Linked DNA regions of Drosophila melanogaster. The protein of the gene in region 2 interacts with the protein of the main gene of each other region in a pairwise test. Each region holds a gene or a part of one and is shown on either strand. Other genes may lie near its edges.

Region 1 (4,082 bases), 4.6 Mb from region 2:
CCGGACATCATTGAGCTGGATCACTTGACCGTGAGCGGAGATGTGACTTTCGGTCGTGGCGTTTCTTTGCGCGTAAGTTTGAATAATATTGAATGGTATTTTAAATACGCTAATAACATGTCTTAACTTGATTCTGCAGGGCACTGTGATCATCATTGCTAACCATGGCGATCGTATCGATATCCCAGCTGGAGCCATTCTGGAGAACAAGATTGTATCTGGCAATATGCGCATCTTGGACCACTAAATCAAATCCTGTACAATTGGATATCGTCTCACTAACTGTAGTCTAATTGTCTAAGTTTTATGTAGTAGCCATGTTCGCGTTTCAAATTTCCAATAACGAATTTCATTTAGCCAATTGTTGTAAGCACAAAGTGTGTCATCTGTATATATCGTTAAGTAGAAATCAGTCAGGGTTTTTAATCAAAATCGAATTGCAATATGTTTTCAAAAATGTTAGTTGTAGTCGTTCAAATGAGATATAAAAGATAGCAGCTGTTGAAACTCAATAAAGGCATGTTTATTTCTATAAATACGAAGGAGATTGTCACCTATTGGATGTGAGATATTTGTGATGCTTAACATTAGGTCTTAAATTAATATCACTTTGAAAAATGGCACAGGAATGGCACTAGCCAAGTTTCATTCCCCTTGCTTTCAGTTTTCTATGACTTTTCTAAATCGTCAATTAGACTATAGTTCTTGCTTATATGACCAAGTTTTATGCCCTGTTTGATTAGTTCTAATGCTATCTTTTTATTGCTACTCGATGGACCAATAAAGGCCACGACTAGTTCATCTGCATCTTTTGGAGGTTCACAGCTGTGATCCCAACCTCTGGCCTCGTAGATGTTTTCGTCCCCAGCCGCAACGAAATTATAGTTAATATCCTTATATCCATTGCTCTCGATGTGCCAATTTTGCAGAAGGCGCACTCGAAAAGTGCACTCGGCTTGAGTGAAACATGATGGCGTGTTGGTTGCCACAAATCTCACGCTCTCAATTGGCAGCTTCAAAGGAGTAAGTGGCACTATAGGTGGCTGGGCCAACCAATAGGGTCGGGTAACGATCTTTACAGTCTCATTGCTTAGGAGTCGCACTGAAAATAAATTTTGAAAATAAATATATTCTCGTATTTTTTTCTTTCAACTGCATTACATGATGTTGGATCCTGCGTGAATCGGGGCCAATTTTGCATCAGCTCGAAAAGCTTCTGGCCAGGACTTTCGGTGGGGCTTAATTGTCGATGGGCATATATATGATAATCCGGTTGCAATCTATGGAGACGTACGCCCTCGTCCATCAGTCGCTTGGCTGCTTCGATTTGTCGAGCTGGTGGCTCCATATTCACAAAAGTTCCGATAAAGGCTATGCTAACGGAGATGGCACCATATCCATTCACATGCTGACCCTGGATGTGCCAGCCGCGTCCTACGTATATTTGACCATCGCCGCCCACCAAAAAGTTATAGCCAATGTCGACCCAACCAAAAGATTTCATATGGAACGCCTGAATGGTCTTCATGCGGTATATGCAAACATCCTGGGCGAGATAGAAATAAGATTTATGCATAAGTAAACAGTCTTTTAACCGCTAACTTTTAGAAAAGTTTAATTAACTCGAAATAGTGCTGAAGAATGGGGGTTTTTTACCGAAAAGTATGTCGATCTATAGACTCAAAGCGGGGGTTTTTTTTTATGGCAAGCTATTGAATTATAATATCGGTTTTACGAGGCTTTCTAGGAAAAGTTTTGGGTTGATTATTTATATAAATTTTTGTAGATAAGAAAAGAACAACTGGTTACAATAAAGCCTTTTCATGAATCCTAAGTAATTGCCGCAGTAAGCTAAGTAAAACAAACTGGTTTCAAGTTAGCTTTAAAGCAATTCTATATCACTTTGATATTAACAATTTAAAATTCCCAAAGTAAGACTTACCTCTTGTTCGCATCCTTCGGTTGCCGTGTGATGAATGATAATATTGGAGACGGGAAGCTTAAGGTGCGGGTACTTCCCACTGGGTGGTTCCCCCAGCCATTCGCTGCGATCGAGTATGTGTAGGCCCTTGTTCGGCGAATGTGTGGAGAAGGCTAAACCAGGTTAACAATTGGTTATTGGTTATTAAATTGTATTCAATCTACGATTCGCTTTAATGACTCACACATCATCCACATGAAATAGCCAGCTGCTAAACCCACAACCATTAGAAGAATCACACAGAAATAGAGAAGCTCGAAGCGAAATCTTTTCTCGTTATTTATCGGTTTTCCTGGGTGAGTAACTACCACTGTTTTCGGCATCTTGAGATGTTTTCACTATATCGCACTACCCACAACCGCGATCGATCCTCGCACGACGAACGTCCGATGCCAACTGAAGTGAGTACGCACCCGATCTCAAGTCCGGTTGTTGTTTATTTCTGTTGACGGCTCCGAAAAATCCCCGGACATTTGAAAACCTAAAGCGACTGCGCAGTTCATAAGCTTGTTGATAAGAGATATTCATACCTATAAATAAATATATGTATGTATAACTAAAGAAAGCTTTTTAAAGCTTAATATAGGGTGCCATTTTTGCAACAGGGTGCGCGATCTCTGAACGCCGCCCACTTGAGATTAGAAAGAGATATTTGATGGTAGTGAGCAGTCCAAGAAATGGGAATCCCATTTTGTCAAGGGGGCGTATACTTACTCTTAGCGTTTTTGAAAGAAGCTAGCTCATCTTTGGACCGAAGTTATGATGTTTTCCGGTTTCTTGGAATGAGTGACCGACTACAGTTAGCGGCTGCGATTTGATCAACTGACCCAAAAAGAGTTCTTCACGATTATTATTCTGTTTTTATTTTGTCATAAATAGAACGCAGATAGATCGTGATAAGTAGAAAAAGAAAGCGAATTTAGCAAACATTTCTTTAACAGACAAACTAAAACTTAGGTAAAATGGAGCCTATACAACCTCCGGATAAAATATTTGCCAGATATAAGATATCCCAGCCAAACTGAACTCCAGACCAACTAACCTCCGGATAGTAAATGTCTGGTAAAACAAAACCCAGCCACAAAAACCCCCAGGCAAACTTACCTCCTGCTATAATAACCACTAGACGATCTAACCTTCAGATGAAATAACCCCAAGCCAAACTAACCTCGGGTTAAATGAACCTCCAGGTAATACACTCCCCCAGTCAAACCCCCTAACAAACGAGCCTCCGGATAAAATAACCCCCGATAAAGTAACGCCCAGGAAAGCTAAGCCCCTGGCAAACTAACCTCTGGATAAAACAACCCCAGGCAACCTAACCTCCGGATAAAAACGGATAAAATGATTCCCGGATAAATAAACCTCCGGATAAAACAACCGCAGGCAAACTAACGTCCGGATAAAACAACCTCCAGGCAAACTAACCTCCGTATAAAATAATAATTATAATATAATAATATAATAATTTTAAGATAGTCGCGAAAGAAATTAAAAATTCCAATAATCGGGGAAGCCCCATAACTCGCAGGTGGAAGAATGCGTAGAAAAGCCAAGCCATATTACAACTTTTCCGGTTTCAGGCAGTTCCAGACAGCACCTCTACAGAAATTCCCCGATTCCAGTTATCAGCTAGTTCTTGATCCCCATACATGATTGAAATTCATCAAGTAAATCATTTTGTTTTATTTAATATCACATTTTCTTTTTAAACGAATCGTTACTCTAGCTAAATCGAATATGCCACACATTAATGGGAGAACACCTATGATACAAAATCAATACGAAAATAAATGATAGTATTGCAAAATATCGAAATAGCTCTTAACCTATTCACGACCAATGAGTCCAGTTGGCGAAGCTTGCGTAGAGCGCATCCGCCTTAAAATCGGTTACACTTGGCATCAATTTACTGCTCGCCGTAAATCGGTAGCTTGGTGCAATCTTGCCCAGCTTTACGCCACGCTCCAGCAAAAGACGAGTAACACTTAGTTGCTTGGCCGACGGCTGGATGGTCTTAAACGATCCGATATAGGCGAAGCTAAGACTCTGCGAGTCATAGTTTATATTGTTCATGTGGGCACCCATTTTATTCCAGCCC
Region 2 (12,682 bases):
GTGGGGTCATATCGTATTTTGTGAAATCGTCTATTATTGTCATCATGCTAACGTTCGATGGCCATATATATATACATATGAATATTTTCTATATATTTATTTGCATTTGTATTGGCCTTTGAAATTTGCCAATTGGCCGTTTCGATGGCTGGCTCTTAGTCACACAAAAAGTGTACATATAACACTGCGTGTGTATATATACATTTATTATTGCAACGAAAGCTGCCCAATTAGCAATGTACGTATATATCCACATATAGATATGACTGAGATATGACAGGAAAGGGTGAGTACCCACATGTAGGCTCTGGGGATATTGTTAATTAATTGTCAATGAGTCAGCTGGGAAGTGGAAGGGCAAGTTTGGGGCTTGTGGGCAATGAAAGTTTTCCTAGCCCATCAAGAATTTATGAAACAATTGATTTTTGTTGGTTGTAATTGCGCTGTACATTGTACGTACATAGGTGAACAGATAACCATATCGAAATATATATTACTGTATGGTGCTCTATAAGGTTAAATTCTTTTAAAAATATTTAATTCAAGGTGCTGAAGAAGAATAGTCAGCAACACAAATCGAATGTTACTACCTGACATTTATTATGATAAGCGGTATCTAAAGTAAATAGTAGTTCAGGATTAATAAAAGTGGAGTAACCACACAACACCCATATCATTTTTATATGATTGAAATCATACACCACCAATACGAAAACTGCAAAAGCTTATAATATGTCTAAGCATTTTTTCTTACTTTGACATTTTTTATATTTCCTTTTTTTTTGCATTTTGCTGCCATTTAACTAATGCCGACTAGATTTTTGATTTAATTTGGTTTACGACTCCGCTCAGACCGAAACTTTGGCGACATTTCCAAGTCGACTTCTATTGTTCCCAAGCATCGCTTTGACACCGAAAATTGCTTTTGGAAAGTGAAAATGCTTTCACCTTCAGCAATTCATTAAAAATCATCATCAGCGGTGTGTGTGTGTGTGTGTAGGAACGAAGATGGAAGAAATAAATTTTATAAAATTATACACATGCAACATATGTACCTACATATGAATATGTTTGTACAAAGGTTCAGGTATGACAACAACAATGGAATTATGGAAGATGCCGCATTGTTGCGGTAGTCTCATACTTAGCCATCTTCAAGAGACCAAAGTCAAAGTCGAGGAACGCCGCCCGATGGTTAATACTCGCAATTTAGCTGTCAGTCGAATTAATTTGCTTGCTGTTATTAATTTTCAGTTGCTGGCCATAATTTGCACATCAATGGACTTTGACAGTGAGAGGCGGTACGGTTTGCTCACGGACTCTGCCACAGTTAACCATCAAATCTATTATGTAAAGCCTGCATCAATAGCAACTATAATTTGAACTGGATTTGCTTCCTGCCAACTGCTCGGCATGTCGATTAACTAACATGGAAATGAATGGCAACAGTTAGTTGATCGTGAATATGGCTTGAAGGTCTCCGCCTCCCGTTTCCACCCACCAAGAGTCGCGGTCAAGATGGTAAAGACCCAAATGACCAGGTAGTGTGACAATTAGATTGGATTTGCTAACAAACATGAAGTTACATAACATGCAATAAATAAATAAATTTGTTAACTAACTCGAAAGCCAATAATAAAATGCACTATATGCATATGCATCTAATATTCTTGGAAACCCTGTAATGTAGCAGTTCAAGCCCCGCTTGTTACAGTTTCGTTTTTTTATACTTTCTATAAAGCTCATTACAAGCTGATGAGGCTAAATACAAAGTCAGATGGTCTCGGAAAATCCGCATTAAAAACTCATGTTTCCCTGATGACACAAAAAGCGAAACGAAGAAGGTGGAAGGAAAATGCTTATGGCCTGACCAATAAGGAAAGTAATTTCCCTGGGCAAAAAGGTGGCGTAGAAAACAAAGCACTCACCATGACATTTTGCCGACCCATCCATCCATCCATCCATCCACACAACATGGCCAAAGAAATGCTATTACTGGCCAAGAGCCAATGCGAATGCGAATAGGGTGACGCTGGCGACTAATGTCCAATAATAATCGTGCTACACTATGTCGAACGACCTCAATTTCCCAGCAAAAAGGGGGTCCAACCCCAGATCGTACACCCCCATTCATGAGCAGAGCCCAGCATTTTGTCCACCTTAAATCTGAAAACATTTCGGCCAAACCAAAATTAAGGCACACCATTTGTTTGTTAACGTATAAATTTGCATACCTGTTCGGCAAACGAGGCCAAAAACTGGTGAACTGGGAGTTAACTTGGGGGTACTCGAAGAAATGCTTAGCAGGTAAATGAGCTCCACTCGGTCTCAAAATCGCTTTGTGACTCATCAAAGAAGATTACAAAAAATCAACACTTTTCGTTGTTGTTTCGAAGATCGATCAAACTGGTTTTCAGCAAATGAGATGGACACGCGGCGATATATATATATGTATATATGTCTGGCTATATAAACCCGTATTATTCGCATGCAAATTGGTTGATTTTGAATTTTTTTTTGCAAAAAAATAGTACAACAATAACAGCAGCACTCGACAATGTGTTGATGATGACTTCATCTCAGTCCAAAAAAAGAAAAATGGTTGATCCACGAACGTGAGAAGAGTTTCATTTTGATTAAGTTTTATTTTTGGGTTCCCTGGTCGCACTTTTCTTTATTTATTGCTAGAACGCGTTTGGTTATCTAACCATAGATGAAGTAGGCGTCCAGCAGAGGTGCCTTCGATTGAGAGGTAACCATTATGGCCATTATGTATTCTTGGGCGCCTCGAGAAGTCCGCCCACCTGGTATGGTCAGTTCATTTGAGTGAAGCGATGGGCATTGTGGGTGTGTGATTCGATCGAAAGGCGGAAGATACGTTCATTTGCATGAATCATTTGGATTGGCAGAGAAATTAATATAAATATAACTTTAATTGTTGAGGTTTATTAAAGTTACACAAGGAAATGTGCATTCACTGGAGATTTCGCTTTAGTTTTTGGTTTCTTGTTGGGTTTTCTACAACTTAAATATATATTTAAATTTACATTTATTGGATTATAAATAATTACAGTGTCTTCAGGAAGTGTTTTTAATCAATTAGCATTAAATCTCTCCAATCATAGATTCCGCATCTCATTCTAAGTGAAACTACAGTATGGTATGTAAATAAGACTTTAAGAATACCGCAGAATTTCCTTTCATTAGCCACAAACCATAGATCTTCACTTCCATTTTCTATGGTTAACCATATCCTGTTTACGATCATCAAGGTTAATCAAAGAACGTTTAAATGAAATTACCTTTTTATTAGCATTCTTTGATCGGGGAAACGGCTGAAAGTTTCAATTTAATATCATAATTGATCAAAGAACAAATTGCCAGAGAACGTTTGTGAGTTGCCGTTCTACTAAGAGCTCTTAAATAAATTACTGAAACCAGTTGGCCAATGTCAGAAATATATAAAAATAAAAAAAAAAACAAACAGCAAAAGTTATTAAAGCAATAAAAGCCGGGCGAACAAAAAACTCAGGGGTGTAGACTTTCGAAAAGGCCAAAGGGGTTTAAGCCGATAGCCGATTTGAGTTATTTAAATGCCTAAATCGTAACAGACGCCTACGTTTCAAATTATATACTTTACATTCGACTGCCATTTGCAACACTTCGTCGTCGTTCAAGTTGGGCTTAAATTTCCTAACCAGTAATAGCAACAATTGTCTGCAGATCGTGATAAACGAGCGACTTAAGGCGAGCTACAATGGGATGCCAGATTCCAATTGATTTCCACTCAATTGTTCTCCTCGACTCGGGAGTTAAAAAAAAAAAAAACTGGGCTTGCAATCGAACCTGGGCGAAGCGAACACGTTTTGGTAGTCAGACAATGGTCAACTATTTGGTCGATTGTCTGTGAACTAGATAATATGAAGTGGGCTTGGAAAAAATTGTAAGCGAAATGAAATATGGCTGAGAACATATTGAGAATAAAAGACCGATTTCGAGCGAGCTATTTATAGGTTAAAGCTGTTACGGTCGAAATTGAAGAGGTTGAAAAGTGTGAGACTACATATATGTATAGTGTTAAAATAAACCCATAAATACATCTTAACTGTATAAATTTCCCACCTTTCCAAGTAATCCTAATACCAATTCTCTGGCGAAAATCCCTTAAAATAAGCACTAATCAAGCCAAGGCCTCTGAACTGGTTCGCATGTGGGAATAGGGCATAGAACCATATACATATTATATTATGGCGCATATAAAAGTTAATGCAAAAACAAATCGTGGCTAAAAATAAAAGCCAATGCTCGTAAATTGGCACACACGCTTCAACAGACCGCGAAATAAAATAAAATAGGCGAGCTTCGGACCACGGCAATAACAACAAGTCCGACCAAAACTACTGCCATTTTGGTCAGAACCAAAACACCTACAACCGAGCGGTCTAATTACGTCAGTCAATCGCAGACCGACCACATATAGTATACAATACTATATAGTATACGAATGGGATGGGCCTGGTTTAGCTGACCACTGGTTCATCCATCCAAGCAGCGAAGTGACATTGTGCGCTCCATAACTTTTTGAAGAAATTAATTAGATACGCGACCAGCCATTTTGCATATTGCCAAAAACACGCAAATAAAAGTGAATCCAGCGAAAATGTGGCTCACGTCACTTTGCTAAACAAAGACTAAAAGGTAAAGTCAAGGTGACTAAAATTCAAGAGATTTATGCGGCAGCTCCACGCCAGAATTCCCTAAGCAATAATTGTTATTAAAAAAAGAAACAAGCAAATAATTAAAGCGACAATTGGCGTTGTTCAACTGTCAGGTGTTAACCTTTTTTTTTTGGACTGGCCCAATTTCATTAGTCTAAAGCGATTTCCATTTAATGGCCAATGGAAAATGGAACATGGGAATTTCTCACTTTTCGGCTTTAAATTGGAGCGCTCTATAATAAACTTAATGGTTTTTTCGGGTGCCAAGCGATTTTCATTTAAATTGTTAATGGTTATGGAATGCATGAGGTGAGCAAGCAAACTATTATTTTAATGGGAATTTTACGGGATTAAAACACAGACTTTGAAGACACGTAAAAACTAAACTCGAACAGAGAGAGCATTTTATTATTATTGAACTTAGTTTGATATTTACAATGTATAATGTATACATATATATTGTATAATTTTGGTTTTAAACTCAATGAGGGCATATAAATTTAATAAGCAATGGAGTTGTTCTCGATTTTCAATAAAAAATTCATTGCACAAAAGTTTTTGCATATCAAAAATGACTCAAAAAGACTCGAACATATGTACAAAATTTTCACGATGACATCATCTGACTAAATATCCAGGATATTACGCGACTAGCCCCCCCGCAATTGGCCTTCGCACTTTCATTTCTCAATGAAGATGAAGTCACTCAACGTGCTTAACTACAAAAGCAAAAAAAAAAAAAGGAGAATACAAAACCCAGTTAAAGTGACTAAGCCAACTACGTAAATATGGCCCAAACCCACGGAAAATATGTACCAACGAAATTATTCAAGTTCAACGCATTGCTGTGTCCTCTGTTTGGGTTACTCACACCATCAGGTGGTCCCCAAACCATCCTCACATTTCCTGTTCTCTTTTCGTGCATTGAATTGCCATTAATCGGCGTTGAAGCCTAATTGATAAGAATACATTGTTGTTTACCGGTCGGTCAACAAAAGTACATTAGCCTAACTATCGGTTCAGGATGGAAAAGCGAGGTAACTAAGTTTGAGGCAACCAATATGCTAATGTGAACGGCCACGAACTTGAGCCGCGGCTTGAACTTCACTTGGAGCGATTGCTGGAACGGGTGTTTTATGTTTACCTATCTTCTTCTATTTCTTCTATTGTCAGTTACCTGGAAGTATCTGTAGTGTGTGTGTGTGTGCGTGTGTGTGAACAGGTGACAGGCGAACGAACCGCACCCACCCACACAGAAACCACCCATTCGAGCGGTTCAAGGTCGGGCGGCAGACATAGACTTTGGAAACATTTGGAGGTGTTGTGAACAGACTTTGCTTTTCCTGCCATGTTATCAGGAAAGTGCTCGATAAAGCCAATTTTTAGAGAGACTTCAGAAGAGCTCTTCAGCTATTTCATACAAAATGTGTAGGGTAGAACTTGTGATGGAACAAAAATCGATACCCTTACGTGATACACTATATAGTTCAGTAGTTTACTGCGCACACACACACACACAGTATGTCATCGTCCATAAAGTGACATGACTGTAACCATTTTTGTTTGTCTAAATAGTTAAAGAACCCACCCCACAATATAAATTGCAGTTGACAGTTTGGGGAGTTTGTGTGTTCAGTTTACAGAGCTGCATTGGACAGGTGCTGTGTTTCAGCTCTCGAAAAAAATCCATATTGTATATGTATTATTTAATTCTCCCGACCTGGGAATGCCAGCAATGCGTCAATAGAGGGGGTCATTTACGAACACATGTCCGCCAATAATCAATGCAAATCATCAGGTGAGTCAATCAAAATTCTGGTACTCAGGTATAACTGCCGTTGCCGATTTGATAAATGCGCCGGCATTTAGAGATAACTATTAGATTGTTCAAGAAATCATTAGAGGAAAAGGTAGGGAGCTTAAAAAGGGAAAATAATAAATGGGTCTGAATTTACAAATGTTGGTTTCACACAATTGGTAGCTAATATAGAGATAGAAGCAAAGTGATTATTTTGTTTATTGCTCACACTTTAGTAAATCAGATAGAGAATAGAGATAAAAGAACATGAAAGCATTCCCTCAATAAGCAAGATATCATTAAACTAATAATAAAGAGTGCTTAGATCTCTTCCATTCATTTAGAAAACATAACAAAAATTAATTTTTTCATTTCCCAATTCTTTAAATTGCTGCTTAACCATATTCAAGAGATACATAACTATCATCTCTATGATCTTTTAAATTGTAAGTGTATTAAAGTATAATATGCATTGCCTATCTTTTAAGTCACTAAAGTACCTTCCAAGCTATATGTCCTCTTCCTAAATTTCTTTTAATTCTAACCAATTTTCCTTTCCCCCAAATAACTGACTTCCATTTCAATTGTTTGCCATTTATAATGGCAATTCCACCTGTTAACTTTATATGTGTTTCATGACTCACCTCAATTTTGCTCGAATAGTCCTCGATGAGCTTTTCCTGCTGTTTGACCAGCTCCTCGTTCTTCTCGAGCAGTGCCTTGCCCAGTTCGGCGGCCAATAGGATGTCCGACTCCTTCTGCTGCAGCTGGGCCCAAACATCCGGCTCCTGGTCGTGTCGACGTGCCTCCATGGCGCTGATGTAGTGCTCTAAATCAATCGAATCCCCAATTAGTGACGAATAGTCGAGGTGGTCGAAGCCGGAGTCGTCCGACCGGAGTAGCCCCCCAGCTCCAGCTCCAGTTCCAACTCCGATCGAGTATTGGCCAAACTGACGTGGTCGCTTCGATTTGTTGCCACCGGAGCTGCTGCTGCTGCTGCCGCCGACGATGCTGTTGTTGTTGTTGTTTTTGGTGGATATGGATGAGGCAATGGCGGCAGCGGTTATAGCATTCGCTAGCTTTGGTTTATGCATGATCGTTAGCGGGCAGGCTTGGACTTATTTCAGGCGGGTAGGTGTGGTATGGTGTGTACGTGATATTACGGGTACGGATAATAGCAACGAACCAAATTTACAGACATAACACACACACACACACGCACAGTAAGTTGGATGCAATTAATATCAGTTTAGGTTTTAGTGCGATGCAGAGATCACAATTTTGGTAGTTGGGTTTATCGTTGGTTAGGTGTTCAGATGGCTCTGATCTGGTCGTAGGATTAGCATTAGCTGGCGCGGCGATACGATGATATATCCGAGCATAGTTCCATGGACACCAGCTGCTCCCAAAAGAGAGCAGACCCGTGGTTAAAGCGACTGATGTGTTTGAGCTGCAGTTGATTTCGGTTAGATATATAAGTATAAGTACACAGCCGTAATGAGAATTAGCATTAAATGTGGTATATATATATATGTATGCCCGCCAAGACGGGTCTAATCGTTGGCCAAAAGGAGCGACGGTCACGTTGAGCGTTTGCCAGCACGTTTTTAGTTACTTGTTATTGGGGCTTTTTTTCGGTTTTTGGTTTTGCTAGGGTCAGGGGTGTTTTGGGCAGGGGGGGGGGGATAACATATAACTACAGTGTTAAGCAAGAGGGTTAAGTTAGTCTTTAGTTAAGCTTCATGCGGCTTGGATATCAAATAGGGTTTAAGTTTCTTGCGGATTGGGGGGCGTATTGACATGCGTGGATTTATACAGGTGGGTGGATATTTATAAGGCTGTTAAGGCAGATTATCCAAAAAGAACTTCAGTAGTAGTTCCATTAAATTTAAGGGTATTAAAAGTTTATTTACAGAGGTTGCTTTAGTTAGCGAGGATGTACCAATGAGTTTAGTATGAGTCTCCGCTCTAGGTTTAAATTTCGAAATACCCAAATATATATACAATTAATGTTAAATGATTTTTAAAACATTATCGGCCAACTAAACACAACAATAGAGCCAAACGAAGGTGGCTAGAATCTCTCAAAGTCCACAGATCTCGTTTAAAATTTGGTCCGGTTTTTTTAAACTTATATATATTTTTTAGCCGTTTTCATTTGTTATATAGAAAATTCATTTGGCAAGCACTTCACGCTTAGCTGCTTTTGGTAGCAACAGCAACTGTTGTTAAAATGTATAATACGCTTCAGGCTAAGCTTTTAGCCAACACTTATTTTGTTATTTATGTGCGCTTTGTGTTTATTTTATTTTATTCGTTTTATTTTGATTTTTTTTTTGGAAGCAGCACAGACAGCACAGTTCACAAATACACAACCGATTTGGCTCAAATTGTTGGTATTATTGTTTTGCATTTCCGCTTATATATGCCGTTTTTGGCCAGAGTTTGGCATTATTATTGACAAAACAACAAAAATAACGCGCGGATTGCATGGGATATATTGGTCTAATTAATTCCCCCAAAACGGAAAGTATCCAAAGTATCCAGCAGATACTTTCCACTTTCGCAAGCGCGCTACAGTCTGGCCCTATATATCTTTTAAACTATTTGTATATATATATATATAGCTAACTATATCCGTATATGTATGAGGGCAGAAACCTCGGTCACGACGACGCTGCTCCACTCCAAAGCAGAACTTCCGATGTCCGATGTCCGATTCTCCGATTTTCGGATTCTCCGATGCCGTACAACGCGCGCTCGCTTCGCTTCGGTTACGATTTTCTGGCTTTCCCCAGCTTTTCAGAGGGCGGCTTCGCGGGGGCGTGGCGGATACGTGTGTCTGGCGCGAACGTTCGTTACTAACTGAATGGCGCTGAGGCCGCCGTGCTACGAAAATTGGCAAAACAAATGAGTAACCAAGCGACGACGACGACGAACGACTGGCTAAGCCTCGTATCTTGGCAACAACAACCAACAACATCGGTTGGCTCTCTTAGGTGGCGGTTAACAAAGAGAGTTACCAGTGTTCCACCAGGGTTGTCGAATAATAGCAACGAAGCAGGGGCGATAATCGCAGTCGAGTAATATTATTGGTTACAAAGCAACTAAGATAGCAAATTGCAATTTAGGACGCAGATAACTGATAATAGACTATTTATGGCCTAAGATATCTTCTTTAAGTCAATAAACATTTGGAAAACTGGTTTTCTGTTCAGCTACTGATAGGCATATCGTATTAGGCAAATCTCGATAGCCAAACCTAAAAATAAAATGTCATGATTACTTGGATTATTTTGGACAGAGATTTTGCAGTAATCTTACTTTAAAAATGTAGATCTAAAATCTACAAGGAAATAATTTAAGCCTTAGCATTGTGGATGAATTTTTCATGAAATCGCTTCTTACCTGGCAACCCTGGTAAAACCAAAACACAGCTCCAAAGGTAAGCTTCACTTGGCGCTCTTTTGCTCCGACTTCCTTCCCTTTTAACTGACATATGGTTGATTCGGCTCTACTCTCTTGACTGCTCTTCGCCGTTTGTTTTGCATTGGGCCCGACTTACGAAAGCGGCCAAGTGAACAATAATGAAACGGAGTGACGTTTCGAATGGGGCAGGGGGGCACTGGGGAGCGTGGCCAAAAGGGAGGAGGGCCAGAGACCTGGACCTCCAAAAACCACGACGTGCATACACACATGTACCCAAGCGTACACATTTCAATGCAAAATTTACATACGACAAGAACACAAACAATGGGCACCCAAGAATGGCAATAACAATGGGTATACACTAAGCAATTAATGGGTATATGTTTGCAGGAACTTTATTTCTTCAAATTTTTAGATTCGCGGTCATTTTGCTCTAGGCATCGAAATTATGTTAAAAAGCTAAAGTGCTCCGGAAGGAAGTAATTACAAGCTGTAAAAAATATTCAAATTGTTTCATTAACATCTGAATTTAATCTATATATTATACAGCTCAAAGTAAATGTATCTTTAAAATTTATTTAGAGATCAGTACTAATTACTGAAAATCAGTTATGAAAATGAAATATTCTATCACATACCCTATAATCATACTTCTAGCACATTCTGCTTTTGAAAATGAAAATAGGTACAAGTATGTGACCCCAATGTTTCCAGTGCATCCAAGTGAGGAAGATTTCTAAAGAGGGGGCCGTAGACATGGTCTATGTTAAAAAGCTAAAGTGCTCCGGAAGGAAGTAATTACAAGCTGTAAAAAATATTCAAATTGTTTCATTAACATCTGAATTTAATCTATATATTATACAGCTCAAAGTAAATGTATCTTTAAAATTTATTTAGAGATCAGTACTAATTACTGAAAATCAGTTATGAAAATGAAATATTCTATCACATACCCTATAATCATACTTCTAGCACATTCTGCTTTTGAAAATGAAAATAGGTACAAGTATGTGACCCCAATGTTTCCAGTGCATCCAAGTGAGGAAGATTTCTAAAGAGGGGGCCGTAGACATGGTCAGACCGTCTAGTGCGTGGTACTAAACCAGAGTCATGCCGGCTCCTCACCGCCCAGCGCCAAACTTCTCAAACAACATGCACAATAAGACACTCAAGTGGCCGGGCCAAGTGAAGATGAAGATGAGCTTCAGACCGACACCAGACCATTGTTCTTGGTGGCCAACGCCATCACCATCACCGTCTCCGCCTTCAGATCCATCCATAATGTTGATGTTGCGTGGCCGCTTGTTTATGTTGGGCTACTGTATGGGCTACTGTTTGGCCATTTACCAAATTGAGCTTTCGGATGATGGCCTAACCAGGCGTAACTAACTTTTTTGTGTTTTACTTGATTTTCGCTGGCCAGTGAGTGAAACTTCCGTGCTTCCGGCGCAGATCGATCTATAACTATAACTTTGCCGCACTGCCTAATGAGGAAGGGTTAGTGGCGTGTCTTCCTTTGAACATTTGTGGGGCATCTGGTTGGAATTCTTCGTGGCTCTGTTCATCTCCGGTTTCCATGCTGCAGTTCACCTGCAATCAAGTGTTCTTGAGCTGCCTTATTGTCTTACACTCTCGCTCTTGTTGAGCTCGGCACTCCAGCCATCCATTCATCCATCTTGGGGCACGGCTACCATACCGATCCGTACCATAGCATAGCCACCTAGCCCACCTAAACTGGTTTCGGTCTTGCTCTTGCTCTGCATTGTATCGCAGTTTTTTTTTTTTTGTTTAATTACTTCTGCTTCTTTTTATTTTGCGTTGTTCTTATGGGAGGTTGATTAACTTTTCTGGCATGTTGGTGTCACTTTTTTTTCCAAGCAAATCAGAAATAACATAGAAATTCCACTTGGCCATGGAGTTTGTTACACTTGAAGGATTACAGCGAATGAAAAACAAACCTCGAGAACTGTATTCGAATTTAATCAATTTATAATTTCATTTAATTATTAGTGATTTTGGTCAAGCCATCGTAGTTAGGCTAATATAAACAATTCAATCGATTTATGCACCTTGAAATATTTATCAGTTTTAATATACTTATCAGTTTGATAGCTTTAACATATCTGTTCGATAAGGGAGTAAACATATATCATATACCATATATATACCATCATATATCATACCATTAGAGGAATCTCTGGTTTATACAACATGCATACGTTCTACGTTTCATACGTTATATGAATAATGATTACGAGTAAATTCCTAATGAATTAATCTGTTTTTTTTTTAGGGTATACCACATGTCGTTTAGTCCACAATTTGGTGCGCACATACATCAAGTCTTTAATATGTACAATAATTATGTTGTTTTTAGCGCTCGGCATGAGTCAACGGCAACAAGTTGGGGCATTACCGGGCGTTTTATGGTCAAAAGTTTTGGTTTCTGCGGCGACAAAAAGAACTGAAACTGGATGTGGAACTGGAACTGGAGCTGGAGAAGAATAGGTATGTTACCAGATATGTGTGTCAGTGACAGTGGTGAACTCTGGTGATTTGGTGAAGGATCTGTCACTTTGGCGGTCGCTGCAAGCAGAGCGAGAAGTCCGGCTTAAAGCCGCCTGTTGCGCTCGAGCCCACTTTAAAAAAAGAAAAAAAAGTGTTATGGCCGAAAAGGTAAACAGCAACCGTATTACAAAACCCAGTGCCAGGCCATAAACAAACTACCGTAAAAAGG

What was found.
Region 1: the proteins of CG32137 (region 2) and PGRP-LF interact in a two-hybrid assay, tested with the Drosophila melanogaster proteins (one large-scale study listed by BioGRID).

Annotation. Positions count from the first base shown.
Region 1 is NT_037436.4:9,347,908-9,351,989, reverse strand, and holds PGRP-LF (peptidoglycan recognition protein LF), read right to left. Parts: upstream 2,382-4,082; 5' UTR 2,305-2,381; coding exon 2,166-2,304; intron 2,095-2,165; coding exon 1,943-2,094; intron 1,547-1,942; coding exon 1,162-1,546; intron 1,124-1,161; exon of another isoform or gene 1,103-1,123; coding exon 669-1,102; 3' UTR 501-668; downstream 1-500. Other genes in the region: UGP (UDP-glucose pyrophosphorylase), read left to right, coding at 1-72, 140-247; PGRP-LC (peptidoglycan recognition protein LC), read right to left, coding at 3,815-4,082.
Region 2 is NT_037436.4:13,935,954-13,948,635, reverse strand, and holds the start of CG32137 (uncharacterized protein), read right to left. Parts: upstream 9,387-12,682; 5' UTR 9,178-9,386; intron 7,967-9,177; 5' UTR 7,611-7,966; coding exon 7,161-7,610; intron 1-7,160. UniProt on the Drosophila melanogaster protein: Functions redundantly with BicD. Involved in formation and/or development of mechanosensory organs during metamorphosis.